2 linked regions of the Tamandua tetradactyla genome follow. The protein of the gene in region 1 purifies or fractionates together with the protein of each later gene. This does not show direct contact. Links are inferred from orthologs where the notes say so. Each region holds a gene or a part of one and is shown in the gene's direction. Other genes may lie near its edges.

Region 1 (7,376 bases):
TATGTGAATTTATATGTTGTATTGAATGATAATTTTGTAGACCACGAGTCTGCATAGGAGCCATACTTAGAAAAAATTCCATCTATGTCCTTTTTGCTTTTTATATTGTGAGCAGTAACAGTGTGGCATCGAGAATTTAATGACCAAAATAAAGGCAGAATAACGTGTAATTTGTTTTTGCAGGGACAGAAAGGGGGTGTCTTGTTCCAAAAACAAGTCAACCCCATATTAAATAAGCATACTGTATATTTTTTAATCACTGTTTTCAGAGCATTTAGTTTTCAGCAGTTGTGTTTCATAATGTCCTTTTGAAGTGGTGTGTTACTGTTTTGTTTGCATTTGAACAAAGAGAAAGAGTCCTGGAAGTTATATGCCATGAAGTGTTCCCAATGTGTCATAATATAGCCAAGAGAAGAATTTTAGACATAATACCAACTGTGGTTCATTTGGGCCTTAACAAGTCTTGGTGATCTCTCTCAAGCTTCAGGGCTCTATCTCAAGCCTGGCTAGATCTCCCATCCACCCTTTTTTTTTGCAGTGACTACAGGGACTTAGCCTGTTTCTGATTCCTTTTTAAAGTTGCCACCGCTATTTTTGGAGAGTTTTGATTACAGGGTTGGCTGTAAGACATACTTTCCCTAGTTGCTCCTTAAAGAAACTATATTCATTTCATTTTTATTCTGGACAGAAATAACAGCAGGAATTTAAATTAAAAAAAAAAAGATACACATATAGGGAAGCTTCACAGATTGTGAACTCTTATGTTTGATGCTGTAGACCTTGATATTTTATGATTCTCAAACTTGGCAAACATCAGAATCATCTGGAGGGCGTGTTAAAACAGTTTTCTGCACCCCACTCCCAAAGTTTCTGATTAAGTAAGTAGGTCTGAGTGGAACCTGTAGCTTTGCTGTTAAGACTAACAAATTCTCTCTTTTCTCCTGGAAAAGTTGTTGTTCTTTGACTTTATTTTATAATTGTTTTGAGTCCCTTTTAACTGTTTCTTAGCAGAAGCAATAGGATTAAAATCCTGTAGCATTTATGATATTTACTGAGCATGTATTCAATACTTTATAAATATTAACCTATTAAAATTTTTAACCAAGTAAGTTTTAATTTTTCATCTTTCAGGGCACAGTGTTTTTAAAAAACTTTTTTTTTATTTTCTAGGTATTTAATACAAAGCTGCTTAAAGTCAAAGAAAGACATTTGTTTCTTACCTATTTGGGAAGAGCACAGTATGATCCAGTAAAACCTAACTACATCTCTTTGGACAAATTAGTATCTATTCCCGATGAAATATTCTGTCAAGAGATTGCCAAAGCTTCAGTACAGGACTTTGAAAAATTCTTAAAAACTCTTTAGTTTTTGATGACTGTTAAAATATAATAATGTAAAATGAATGTACATATGAATAAATAAATCTATTTTAAATAAATTCCTCAGGTCTCCATTGATATTGGAAACAGTGGCTTGATATTATAAATTTGAGTACACTTCTGGTAGATTTTCTTATAAGTTCTTAGTGACATAAATTCTTCTCTGACACAATCATTTCCTTCCTTCTCAGGAAAGGGTGAACTGAAAATATAGCAAGCTTAGAGAAAGTTTACTAAGAATTAGTTGAGGCTGGTGCTCTGTCACTGATTTTCCTGTCACTCTGATAGAGAGTTCTGGTGAAGACAAGAACACTGGAGACTTTCCCACTCTTTCATTCACAGGTCATTTAAAGTGGTTTCATCACACTTTGTTTTTTAAGTTGTTATATCTGAAGTATAGTACATTATTCATCTAACATCTATTTAATGTAGACAATGCTACGAAACTTATTCAATTTTGGGTTTTCTACAGTGTTATTCATCTCCCTGAGTGTGCATATTCAGAAGCTGTGCAAAGTTGACTACTGAGAATTAACAAAGGAAAAGGGATAGGGAGGGAAGTAAAGTTCGAAGGTATGGAGAGGGCAATGAGACATAGTAAAAAGACCATAATAAACCTTTTTACTTATTGCCAACATGCAAAAACACAGCATGAATTGAAACTTGATATACACTTGCACACTGGAGCTTGTCATCTTGCAACATTTTCTTGGGTCTGGTTACTAAGAGATGTGACGTAGAGAGAGCCACCAAACCAAACCCCAGCTATTTCATTTGTATCAATGAAGCACCAGACAGAAGGGAAATGTCATGAAGAGAGCAGTCTAACCAAACCCCAGCTATTTCAGCCATACCAATTAAGCACCAGACAGAACTGGAAGAAATAAAGTGCTTAAAGCCACTAACTTTGGGGATAGTTGGTGTTCATCAGTGTTTTGTGGCGTGCTGTATGTCCTGAAACCTCATGAGTAACTAAATTTGTAATTGATCAGGGCCAAGTATAGTGGCCCTCCTGTTACATATTGTATTCATTGTCTCAACAAACCTTTGTGTTCCTAAACACACTGGTGAGTGTGGCAGAGATACGCAGCTTCATGGAATTGTCTAATGAATGAGATCAACAAGCAAAGGAAACAAGGATGAGGTACAGCTGTGAGGCCACGGTCCTGCCTGGTCTTTGAGGCCGAGAACTTCATTTCGTCTCAACCCACTCAGATAGGCTAAGTATGCTACTATAATGAACAATCCTAAAACCTCAAATTATTTGAAACTGCAAAAGTTTCTCTCTCAATCATACTTATCCATGTTGGAACCACAAGGGGCTCTGCTCCACATCATGTAGTGATAGAGGTTGATAGAGTATTGTCATTTTCAGGAGTATTGCCACAATTTCTGACACTATTGCAAGTCCATAGAAGGGGAAAGGGAAATGGAGAATTGCTCTTAAAAATGTATTTCCTAGCCAAGGTTAACCACATGCCTAACTTGAAGGGGAAGGGAAGTGCAATCCTACCATTTGCCAGGAGGGAGAAAAACCAAAAATATTCTGTGCTAGTATTAATGACTACCAGTAAACACCCAGGCTTTCCCTGTAGGAGCTCGATTTTATGATAGTCCTGTTACTTCATGCCTTGACATAAGAACTTTCTTCTCTTGGCATCTTCTTCACCCTGCAGCCAGCAAGCTGAAATTTAAAGGTGGAAGAGGAAGGAAGAAAGGTTTATTGAGTATGCCCTTTGTGATGCAATGTGCCAGCGTACAAATATATTGCATTTCTTCACATCTTTAAGATTTCACTGGCCAGTGTAGTCTGGGAGCACTCATTCGTCCATTTTTAGTGCTGCATAGAAAACTTATACAAGAAAATGACGCAGCATGGAGTCAGAAGAAACAAAAGGCAGCAGATGGGGTTTTAGAACTGGAATGGGACTAAGACCATTAAATCTAACTTGACTTTACAGTGAGACAATCCTGTACTGTCCCAGGTTTCAGCTTAAGACTCGAAAAAACAGTATTGGTAGGTAATGGTAGAAAGCCACTAGTAAGAGATTCAACTTATCAGTCATACTAATCCCCTCAATTGTTTTCTATTTCTAGGCATTTATACCTTAGACTTAAGAAGTTGGTCTGAGACCTTTCAAATGGATAAATCCATGTACTTGTTCCTGTTGTATCTATAGTAATATACAAATTCTGCAGTATAGCTTCGACTTAATATTGACATTTTTTTCTGACCCTAATCTTCCCCTAAAGTGGTGTGATGTATATTGTTCAGCTGGAGAAAATGAAGGCAAGAGAGGTTTAGTATCTTTTATGGTTAATAGTGTAGCCTGTGACTTGTAGTCAAGGAGTCTTGAATTTGAACACTTCCTAGCCCCATGCCCTTGAACAAAATTTGTCCAACCTTTCTGAGCCTCAGTTTTCTCACTCTACAATGGGGATCAGTGTATTTATCTCAAAAATTTGGGGGAAGAATTAGATGAGAACATGACCGTAAAACGCACAACACTTTAACTTGGCACAAAGGGCTCAAATTTAACATTGCCAAAAAAAAAAGCTCTTACAGCTAAACAGTAACAGAATCCGGGCTAACCCTAGTTCTCCTAACTGCTTGCCTACTATTCTTTCTTCCATATCATAAGTAATGTTTCTTGGGAAACTGGACGAAACGTCTGACCGATTCCGTTAGCTTAACCCCAGCGTCCCTAACATCGGCCGTCAGCGCTGCGCCTGCGCGAGCGTCTTCCGGCGGTGGCCACCCTTTCTCTCGCTTGGCTCCGCTAAGGCGCCTGCGCACTGGGTCCGGCACGTCTTCTAGGACTTACCCAGTAGGCAACGCTTTACTCTGGGGTCAAAATGGCGGGCCGCCCTGCTGGTAAGTGTCTCGTCCTGTCTGGCGATTATCCCCCGGGTCTACCTTTTATTCCTCTTCCTTTGCTCACTCTGTGTGGCTAGGTTTGTAACGTAAGGGAGGGTGGCGGCTCTGGCCCAGGCAAAAGACGTTTTTCCCCCCGCCCCAGCTGTCCCCGGGCCTGCCTTGCGCAAAGTTGGTAAACGAACATTCTGTTCGTGAAGGTGCCCGCGGTGTCTCCGATAGCCCCGGCCTTCCTTCCAGCTGGCGGTGCTCGGCAGTCCGCATTATTTTTCCGGAATGTGATTCCGGACCCCGTAAAGTGTTCAGGCGCCCAAGGAGATCATTAGTGGTTAAGTATCAACCAAAATGCACTAAGTGCTTACTGTGGAGCCAAGCGCTTTCATATGCATTAGCTCGTGAAGTTCTTTTACCAGCGATACGATTAGTTTTCCATTTACGCTGAGGAAATAACTGGCAAAGTGATTGAGGAAATAGGGTGGAATAAGGGTGGGGGTGCTTCTTACCCTGGGAGTTAGTGTCAGTAGATCAAGGGTTATCTGGAACAGTAATTGAATTTGTAGATTTGAGGAATTTTTTTTATTTCAGAACGAAAACAAATCCATTTATTATGGGATAGAACGAAGAAATTGCACTAATATTTAAAACCGCGTGGACGTCACGCCGGTTTTTTTCTGCTTGGTTTTTTTGTTTTGTTTTGTTTGGTAGATCTCTACCTTTTTCGCAGTTTAAATTGGACTAGTTTTTAAGAAAAAATATTGCTCCCTACCTTCCCGTTCCCCAATACTTGTGATGCTTTTAGGAAACATAAGATTGACGAAAAAATCCGTTATTTTTTTGAGCTGGTGGGGTGGGGGTGGAGAGACGTTTAAGAATTCAGTATTTCATTAATTTGACAACTGAAGTCGAAGGCATTCTTGAAGTGAGATAGCACTGATTTCCACTAGCTACCTCTGACATTAGGTAGGGTAAGTTCTATAAAGTTGCAGAAGTTGCTTCCTCTTCTGCAACGCAGACGTGTTGTAAATTGAGCTCATGGAGATAAGGCAAATAGAATAATAGCTGACATATAAGCGCTCAGTAAATATTATTACCACTAGTAAATATGTCTAATTTGGAAGGCAAAGTGCATTCCTAATACTTAATTCATAGAATAAAGGTATAAACCACTCGAGTTTTTAAAAGCATTCTGATAGTAGCACCATTAATCCATTAACTTTTGCTACCTAAATAAGTTTGTGTTAAAGTAAGAAGTATTAGGAAATTCATCCTTCTCCAATCTGAATATGTGGTAGAGTTTATTCATTCCTTCTTCCACTATATTTAACTGCATGTAGCTTCCCTTACAAAGAATGCTGTCTCTCAGCTTTGCTTATACTTTCATCTTCCCCTCATAATAAAGCTTATAAATCACCAGTCACTTTTCTAAGAATCTCATTAAATATTTATTCATTTAGTCCCTGTAATATATATGTGATTTCCAGGAAAACTGTAGATACTGTATCAAACGTTAAGGACACCCAAATCAATAGGCCAAGCCCTGGCTAGCTCTTGTGTAGCTTATGTATGTAGCAGAGAAGCTTAGCCTACCCCATAGGTATGCCTGAAAGTCATTTCTGGAGAACCTCTCATTGCTCAGATGTGGCCTCTCTCTCTCTAAGCCCAACTCTGACAAGTGAAACTATTGACCTCCCCGCAACATGGGACATGACATCCAGGAATGAAAGTCTCCCTGGCGGCGTGGGAGATGACCCCTAGGATGAGCCTGGCCCTGGCACTGTGGAATCAGCAATTCCATACTGACCCAAAAAAGGGGAAAGAAGTCTAACAGATATGATACCAGTGGCTAAGAGAGTTCAAATAGAGTTGAGAGGCTACTCTGGAGGTCACTCTTACACAGGCTTCCCCTAGATATTGCTACCTATCACAACTTGCCGAACCCCAAACAAAACCATTCCTGCCAATCCTAAAGAATACCTATGGCATTATATAAGATTCTACAGAGGTTCTATGTACTAGGGTAACTTTCCAGGAACGGACAACCTCCAAATGGGTCATGAAAAGCAGAGGGGCCAGCCTTTCCAGAACATCAACTAGTTTATCCCCCTATCCCATATTATCGACAGCCCCTTCCAATATGAAAAAGTTAGAATCGGTGTAGCCTAAATACCCCTAAAGAGTGGGAGAAAGATCAAAGGTGATGATAGAGTTATGCAGAAAATATAGGGTTTAACAAATGAGTATGAGTGCTGAATCGTGTTATTTCTTTTAGGCTCTAGTATCTTAGAGCAGCTAGAAGTGAAAACCTAAAATTGTGGAATCATAACCCATACCAAAACTTGAAATCTGTTCTACAACCAATTGCTATGATGTACTTTGAAATTTACTACTTTTTTGTGCGTTATTTTTCACACAAAAAAAAAAAGAGAGAGAAGGCGAGTAAAAGAGAAGATAGGATTTAACAAATGAGCATGACAGTTGAATCATTATATAGATATTTCTTTTGGTCTTGGAGCAACTAAAAGAAAAAATGAAACATCATGGAACTGTAACCCATACCAAACTTTAAAATCTAGTTCTATAACTACTTGTTAAAACATACTTGGAAATTTATTGCTGCTTTATATATATGTTATATTTCACAATTAAAAAGTTTAAAAATATACATGTGATTTATAATATTGATATGTTAATATATAACTAATATAGGAGTCTTTAAATAACTCATTTAAATAAAATAATATAATACTGTATTAACTTGTTTATTCCTCTGAAGCAGTTTCTGGGAGATAAAAATTGGTATTGACCACAGTTTAGAGATGGAAAAACAGATACAGAGAAGTTAGGTAACTAGCTTTAGGAGCCTACATTTGAGGTAACTAGCTTCAGGATCCTATATATGAAGACAGACAGTTTGACCCCAGAGTGTATGCTCCTCTGATGATACTGCTTTCTCCTACCTCCACCTCCCTCCTTTGTCTGAGTAACTCCTACCCATTCTTTTAAGACCTACCTCAGACATCATGTGCCTAAGCCTTCCCTAGCCCTAATGCTGCCCCTGCCCTGGATGCCATTCCCCTTATCTTTGGCTTCCTTAGCACTCTGTGCATTCTCCTTTCATTGTG
Region 2 (7,808 bases), on another chromosome or scaffold:
AGGTCTGCATAAGTTGCTGGGGCTGAGACAGTGTGTGGAAAGGGTGCCTAGATGGGGTCCTGTGGTGGGGTCTGTTGACACCTGACCTAAACCTAACTTCCTCATTGCCTGCAGCAGGAGCTGAACTTGGCTTCTATTTCCCTGAACTGGCACTCCAAGGGGACAGGCTGACAGTGGAGACATGCTGGAAAGGTAGCTTCAGGCTGGGCCCCCTGAGTACTGGGAAGAAAGGGGGGAAGCTGGGCTCCTGGGTCTGAGTGGGAAAGAGGCTGCATGCTTGGACTCCTGAGGTTGAAGGTGGAGGGGTCTCAGAGTCCTAGTTCTGAGTAAGTGGGTCCTGGAGCACTAATTCCTGGGTGGGGGGCGGTTAGTCCCTAGTCATTGCTCACACCTTCCCCACCATCTTATCCCTGACAGGGTTCCCACAGTTGGACTGGGGCTCCGCGTTACCACAAACAGACACTACATGGGCAACTGGTGAGTGTTTGGAGAGGTGGGGGATGGCGGTCCTGAAGCACTGGGCCTGCAAGCTTAACTTCCCCGATCTTTAAGGGGGAACAGGGCTGGGACTATGGATGCCTGTGTCCTCAAAGTAGCACAGCCTGAATCAGGGTAACGGCCTCCACCACCCCAAGGAATCGGGAGCGGGGACCGAGGCTTGGAGCTTAGAATCCAAGAAGCCCCAAGGGATCCGGGGCCTGGACATCTAAAGTCCCCTCACTTGGGGTGTGTTCCTCCACACAGAGCCCACCCTGCCGGCTCTTGCCTGGTCAGGAGACAGGACCGACCTGGCGCGTCTCGGCGCTGACCCTCGGAGCCCCGTCTCCCAGATCCTGGGCATCGCCCCTCCGGACCCCGTCACCTCCCACTTCGCGGGCTCTGAAGGGCCGGCGGGCCTAGACAGGAGCACCTTGGCGGCAGGGGCAGCGTCTTGGTCTCACGCCCACACGGCCGGGAGCATCCCCAGCTGGCCCCGATGTTCTGTCGGCCCCGATGCCGCCACCTACTGGGATGAGGGCCTCGGTAGGGAGTCGCGCGTGGACTATACCATTTCGTGCGACGGGCCTGAGGGCTCGGACTGTACCACTTCCTGGGACCTGGGACCGCAGACGGCTTGCATGGCCTCTTCCCAGAGGCACCAGAGTTCAGACTGCATTTCCTCCGAGCAAAGCCAGCAGTCGGACCGTCCCACATTAACTTGTTACCCCAAAACTAACCACCGAGGTGAGAGGACCGCGAAGACTGTGTCCTGCAGGGAGTCTAGAGATAACCTAACTTTGGGGCGTAGGGGGCGGGACCGGGAAAACTGGTAGCGAGGGGGGCGGGGCTGAAGTACCTCAGTGCAGGAGAGAAGAGGGGATGGTGGTTTTCAGGTCTGGGTCCTGAGGGAGGAGAAGGCTGTCAGACACTGGTAGGCTTCTAGAGAGCGAGGGGATGGCACACAGGCTACTGGATTTTGTGAAAGAAAAGAGGGCCCCGAAGCCTGGGTCCTCGAGGCACTCTTGGAGTCCCCATCAAAGAGGGGACTCCTGGGTCACCCAAGTGGCGTGGACTGGGGCCAGAAAACCTCTCACCCGCCTCCCATCCCTCAGGTCCCATTCAGCTGTGGCAGTTTCTCCTAGAGCTGCTCCGCGATGGGTCGCGCAGCAGCTGCATCCGCTGGACGGGGAACAGTCGCGAATTCCAGCTTTGCGACCCCAAAGAGGTGCGGTCGCTCTCCAGCCCTGGTCGGTCCGGCTCTACCCTCGTCTTGCTCAATCCTGCAGTTCCATTCACCCTACCTAGTCTTGGCCCCGCACCCAGCGTCTCCTGGGCTAGGTCCCGTCCAACCCTCTGCCAGCCTCATCGGGAGCTTCGACCCCATCCTTGTCAGGGGTGTTTTCTGTATCCTGGCCCCGCTCCTCCTACCCAATCACTAGGTCCCGCCCCCTTTCCTGCCCTTTCTGACTCAGCCCCGCCTCCGTCCCAGGTGGCGCGTCTCTGGGGCGAGCGCAAGAGGAAACCCGGAATGAATTATGAAAAGCTAAGTCGCGGCCTGCGCTACTACTACCGCCGCGACATCGTGCGAAAGAGCGGTGGGCGCAAGTACACGTACCGTTTCGGAGGCTGCGTGCCCGGCTTGGCCTAGCGGGACCGCACTAAGGCGGACAGAGAGCTGTGACCAAATAAAAAATATCCCATCAAGCCTTGTAGCGCGTTCTCATCTGTGTTCTTCCCACTGACACTGAACAGACCCGCCCCCGCTGGGGTACCTACGTGTGCACCACCACACCCGCTGCTGGGCCATCGAGAAACAAGGGTGAGCAAAACAGACCCAGCCTTTTAGGGGGCCAATTGTGTGCCCACACTGTGATGTGACCTACAAGGGAATTAGATCCAGTGCCTCTAGGGCCTACTGTGTGCCTGCCCTGTGTTGGGACAGGTAAAGGAATCAGACACAATCACTAACTGTGTTGGCCCTAGAGAGGGCATAGAGAGGACTAAGACTCAGAACTCCAAAAAGAGCTTAGTGTGCCCTCTCAGTGCTGGGGACCATGAAGAAATTAGACCTGGTGCTTGTCCCTCCACACCACCTAATCTGTTTCCCCAACCCAGACTAGGGAACATAGAACTCGGACCTAGGAGACCCTACTGGGTACTACCCCATTCTGGGAACCACTGAGGACTCAGATCCAGTCCTGAAAGAAAGCCTACTATGTTCCCCTACTGTGGACAGTGCTGGGATACAGCAATGGTCATGGCAGCCCAGAGACCTGCCCTCAGGGAGCTCACAGTCCAAGGTGGAGATAAAACCATTGCCAGACAGGGGCAATCCAGATTGGTCAGGGCAGGGATGGGGAACCCCAGGGGGTTGAGGGAGCCTAAAAAGAAAAACTTGACCTGGAATGTGGGGGAGGGGTCCAGATAGGGGAGTCCGCTGATCTGAGAAGTCAGCTAATTAAAGAGTGTTCCAGGCAGGGAGAACAGCATGAACAAAGGCCTGCAGGTGAAGATCTCATAGCACTGTTCTTACTGTTCAAGGAATTGGGAATGTGGCTTGGGAATATGGGCCAGCTCACATAGGATCTAAAGCCATGGAGGAGTTAAATAGAGGAGTAGTTTCAGCTTTAGGAAGATTTCATTGAAAGGTGGTGGTGGGTGGGTGGATGCAGACATGTGAACAGGTAGGTTCACAAATAATTTCAACATTGATAAACACAGAATGTATGAGAGGCCCCTGACCTAGTTAGACCTGGACACTGCACCCAAGACAGTATGTGGGAAGCTTAGAAGCCACGCTGAGAGGAGGGAGAAAAGCAGTGTGCTTTCACAACTCCTTCTCCCAGCTCTCAGATTCCCCCTTCATTCATACAAGAAATGCATTCATTAATTTATAGAGCACATTCTATGTGCCAAGCATTGTTGTAGGTGCTGGAGTCACAATGGTGAATAAGACAGACAAAAATAGCTCCTTTATGGTGCTTCTATCCTAATGAGAGAGATAAATAAGAGGTAAACATTTAAAAAAAATTAAAAAAAAGGAAGGCTATAGTAAGTACTATAATACACGAAGAGATAAGTGCTGTGTAACAATAAAGTAGGGAAGGGAAATCTGAGAAAGACTCTCAGAGACATTTGAGCAAAGGAGATAAGGGAGGGAGCCATCTGCAGGAACAGCATTCTAAGCCAAAGAAACAGCAAGTGCAAAGGCCCTTGGGGGGAAGCTAGCCTGTACGTTTAAGAAACTGCAAAGTCAATGTGGCTAGTGCAGTGAGAAGGGTAGATGAGAATATTGGGGGCGAGGGGATGAGGCAAGTAGATTGTGTAGGCCATTTGTAAGGACTTTAGCTTTTGCTCGGAGTCAGACCAGCAGCCGGGGTAAATTCTGGACTGAGGAGGGATGTAATATGACACAGGTGTCAACAGAGTTCTTGTGGCTGGTTAGACAAAATGTGGAGGTCAGCAGAGAAGCCAGAAGGCCAGGCAGAGACTACTGCAATAGTCCATGATGGAGTTGACGGTGGCGTGAACCAAATTTGGCAGGGGAGGACTCTAGATACATATTTTAAGGCAGAGTGAACGAGATTAGATTTGGGAAGGGAATGTAGGGTCTGGACAATCCAGTCAATGACCCCAGGAAAGAGATTAATTCGTTTCAAGCGATTAGTTCGTTGATTGTCGTGGTATGACAATCAACCCCGTAACAATCATAATAAGGATGGGGGTTTTGTATTTTGTACAATAATGTATCCCCAAAACTTACACAAGAGTCTGGCTCAGGATAAACGCTCAATAAATATTTCTTGCATGAATAAAAGCACCTCTTCTGGGACATTCTCCCCGAGACAGTCTTCTCTCCAGCCAGTCCCGGGACTCAGAAATCTTTCCCCCTGATACAGTCAAGGTGAAGAGAGCCTGTAATTTGGCGTCCCCAACTGCTGCTCCTAGTTATCTGAAGAGCCACACGAACTCTCTTTTGTCCCGGTAGTGATGTTAAACATGCATTTCAAAGCCCAATGGGATGTCGGAGTTCGAAGGATGGGCGGGCCCAGAGTGACTTCCGGGACTCGGCTACCCATACGCGCTGTAGGCGCGCTGTAGACTACCCAGTACCCGGCTTCGCCGCACTTCCGGCCAGTCTTAATTCCGCTTCCGGTCCTAGACAGACGTTTGGGCTGAGGGTCACATTGAGCAGCGAGCAGCTTCAGAGGCGCTGCTAGGTGAGTGTGGGGGCTCAGATACCTGGGACCCTAGTATGGGGGCTTGGGGAACCGAACCCCACTTCCCCGAGAACGGGATGAGGGTTCCAGCTGGTGGCGTCCTACATCCCAGTGTGCCAGCCCCGGGCCTTGGTTGTTCTGTTAATAATAACAACTAACGTTTGTGGAGTTCTTCCTTATTGCCCAGCAACCTTCCAGGCGATTTAGTTAGATTGATTCTTTAATCTTACCCCCAACCCTGACTGAGGCTGAGAGATAATAAGCTTCTTAGTCGAGGCCGTAGCTACTAGGGTTTAGACCCATTAATTTGGACTGCATTGCTCTTAATCACCAAGCCGCGGGCGTGACCCCCGGGGTTTTGTTTGAGCCGCAGCTTGACTCCCTGGTGGCTGATCCCGCTTCCCCCTTGCACGTTGGAGGGACCGCAGCGTCGTTCCGGATCCACCAACACCCCCACATATTGGGTCGAGATATCACCCGAAGCTCTTTAGACGACTCTGTCCCAGCGGCTGGTGTTTTATAGTCCTCCCTCTCCGGAAGGACTGTTTAGTGCTACCAGAGCCCCAACACTGCCTTGGGCCGCTTGAATTGGACACCGGCCGATGCACCTCTATGTAGTCCATGACTCCTTGAATTTCTGGAATACAGAGGCCATTTCTCATAGGTTCCATGGCTACTGTGTGTCCCTTTTTTAGAGACATAATATCAAATTTTAACCCTACGTCCACAGAACTAATAGGTTTCAAGGAGTGCTAGTGGTTAAATGGGGAAAAAATTATATCTGTTTTTGCTGGCCTCCAATTGAAATGTACCATTTCCTTCCCTTTGGAATGGAGGCAACAATCTCAGAAGCATGGTTATTACTGCTGTGATGCTTCTGGCACCTGTGACTTTTGTCACCATTTGAAATCACAGATGTTCTTATATCACATTAGTTGTTGCAGATATCACAAAATAGTTTTACTTGTGGTTAAATCAATACTATGGCAGTTAATAAATCTACAGCTAGATATAACTGGTTTTCTTTTTGACCCAGTGCAGTTTTTAATGCATTTAAACATATTCTGAGAATGCGGTTTGTAGGATTAATCAAACCCCAGAGCAGTTCATAGCACCAAAAAGATTAAGAACCTCTGCAGTGTATGGTAGTCCAGTAACTGAGTACAGCCCCATCAGTTGTGTGTGGCATGACCTTGGGAAGTCACTTAGATGTCTGATTCCTTCCTTGTCAAGAAATGGGGATAGTAATAGTTCTGACCTTATACAGAGGCTGTTAGAGGAGTCAAGTATGTTGAACAGCATCTGGCCTGTAAATTTATTCAGTAATGTAGCTAGTATTATTTGGGATAAGAGACTTGATTTTGCTAAGGGTTTGCCCCAACCTGTTATGACTTCCACACCAGATGTATGGATTGGCCCTGCAGTTCACTTGTGTGTGAGTGTGTGTGTTAGGGGAGGGGAGTGATGACTTCTTTATACTCAGCCCAATTTTCTGGATTTGGGCCTCATTTGGTCCTGGGTGGGCTGAGATGCCCATGTCTAAGCCCTCCAACCCTTACCAACGTCCACCCACTTTGCCTCCAGGAGTCAGCATCATGGCAGAAGACATCAAGACCAAAATTAAGAACTACAGAACTGCCCCTTTTGACAGCCGCTTCCCCAACCAGAACCAGACCAGGAACTGCTGGCAGAACTACCTGGGTAAGAAGGGTGTGGTCATGGGAAAGTGCAGACCTTCCCCTAGTCCCAATCCTCAAGTCCCTCACCTCTTACCTACTCCTAGAGGACCCATGCACCTTAACACTGGTCCTGGACGCTACTTTTATTCTGAACATCATAACCCTGGAGGGCCCATGCCCTCATTAACAATCACCTCAGCATCTGAACCAGTCACAAACTTTGGTTCTTACAATGATTTTTAAGTGTATGTGTGTGTGTGTTTGTGTGTGTGTAATGAAACATATGTAAAACATAATGTAAGCTAAAACAATAATTCTAAAGTGAACCCCTGTACGGCCATAACCTGGATAGAAAAATAGAATGTTGCTAGTACTCTAAACTCCCCAACCACTACATGCTCCATCTTGAGCACAACTCCCTCCCCCTACTAGAAGTGTAACCAATATTCAATATTATATCACATTTTTGGTTTTACCTCCTTGTTTTAAGTTTGCCCCTTTGTGAACTTTATAGTACTCTGTGTTCTTTTTGGCTTTCTTCATTCAGTTCAGGAATCTTATATGCTGTGGTATACAGTATTCCACAGTTCTTTCCATGTACACTTGTGTGGCTTTCAGTTTGGGGCTTTGATGAATAGGGCTGCTATAAACATTCATAGAAATGTAATCCAATGCTGTGTGCATGCATTCCTGTCTAGGAAATGTGCCCAGGAGTGAATTGCCTTTTTGTTTGTTTGTTTTTAATTTATTTTTGTTTGTTTTTATTTTAATGAATTACCTATTTTAAAAAAAAACAGATTATTCCTTTCCCGCCTTCCTCTCTGGAACTCCCAGCACCTTATCGTCAAGATCATTTTCCCCTTCCCTTGCCCTGGTTTTGGGCTCCATAATCTGTGTGCTAATGCTTCCCCATCATTCCTGATCCCAGTGTTTACAAGTCAGGCAACAGTTCTCTAGTGGATTACAAAATCAGTTTAGTGAGTTGTGCTCAGCCCTTTTTAATGGATTTGTTTCTTTGTGAAACTTCTATTTTCAATATGTGTGTGTGTGTGAGACTGATCATGAGGTATAAAATATTTCCCGCTGTGAGTTTTGGTCAGAAGTGTGTTCAGAAATGACCCTGAACCCCTTTCTTTACAGACTTCCACCGCTGCGAGAAGGCAATGACTGATAAAGGGGGTGACGTCTCCGTGTGTGAATGGTACCGGCGTGTGTATAAGTCCCTCTGCCCCATATCCTGGGTAGGTGCTTCCTGTTGGGACTCTTGGGATGCAGGGGCAGGTCCGAGCAGAGGAGAGTGTGGTGACTTGGCGGGAGCTCATCTCTAAGGGACAAGGGAAGACAAGGTATAACATTGTCTACAGGGCTTTTGCTGTTTCCCCTTCCCGGAATTGCCTCCCTTCTCTGACACCTCTTAGCCAGGGAGGGC

What was found.
Region 2: the proteins of UQCRB (region 1) and COX6B1 purify together in Homo sapiens (affinity purification with mass spectrometry; 3 studies listed by BioGRID and IntAct, counting the BioPlex papers as one, with this or other methods). This does not show direct contact. The link is inferred for Tamandua tetradactyla from reciprocal best matches to the Homo sapiens genes UQCRB and COX6B1.

The regions. Positions count from the first base shown.
Region 1 is NC_135332.1:140,090,539-140,097,914, reverse strand, and holds the start of UQCRB (cytochrome b-c1 complex subunit 7), read left to right. Parts: upstream 1-4,131; 5' UTR 4,132-4,235; coding exon 4,236-4,254; intron 4,255-7,376. Other genes in the region: MTERF3 (transcription termination factor 3, mitochondrial), read left to right, coding at 1,171-1,365. UniProt on the Homo sapiens protein: Component of the ubiquinol-cytochrome c oxidoreductase, a multisubunit transmembrane complex that is part of the mitochondrial electron transport chain which drives oxidative phosphorylation.
Region 2 is NC_135342.1:30,361,693-30,369,500, reverse strand, and holds the start of COX6B1 (cytochrome c oxidase subunit 6B1), read left to right. Parts: upstream 1-4,565; 5' UTR 4,566-4,700; intron 4,701-6,284; 5' UTR 6,285-6,295; coding exon 6,296-6,401; intron 6,402-7,519; coding exon 7,520-7,620; intron 7,621-7,808. Other genes in the region: ETV2 (ETS translocation variant 2), read left to right, coding at 1-2, 115-192, 418-477, 745-1,224, 1,593-1,705, 1,970-2,128. UniProt on the Homo sapiens protein: Component of the cytochrome c oxidase, the last enzyme in the mitochondrial electron transport chain which drives oxidative phosphorylation.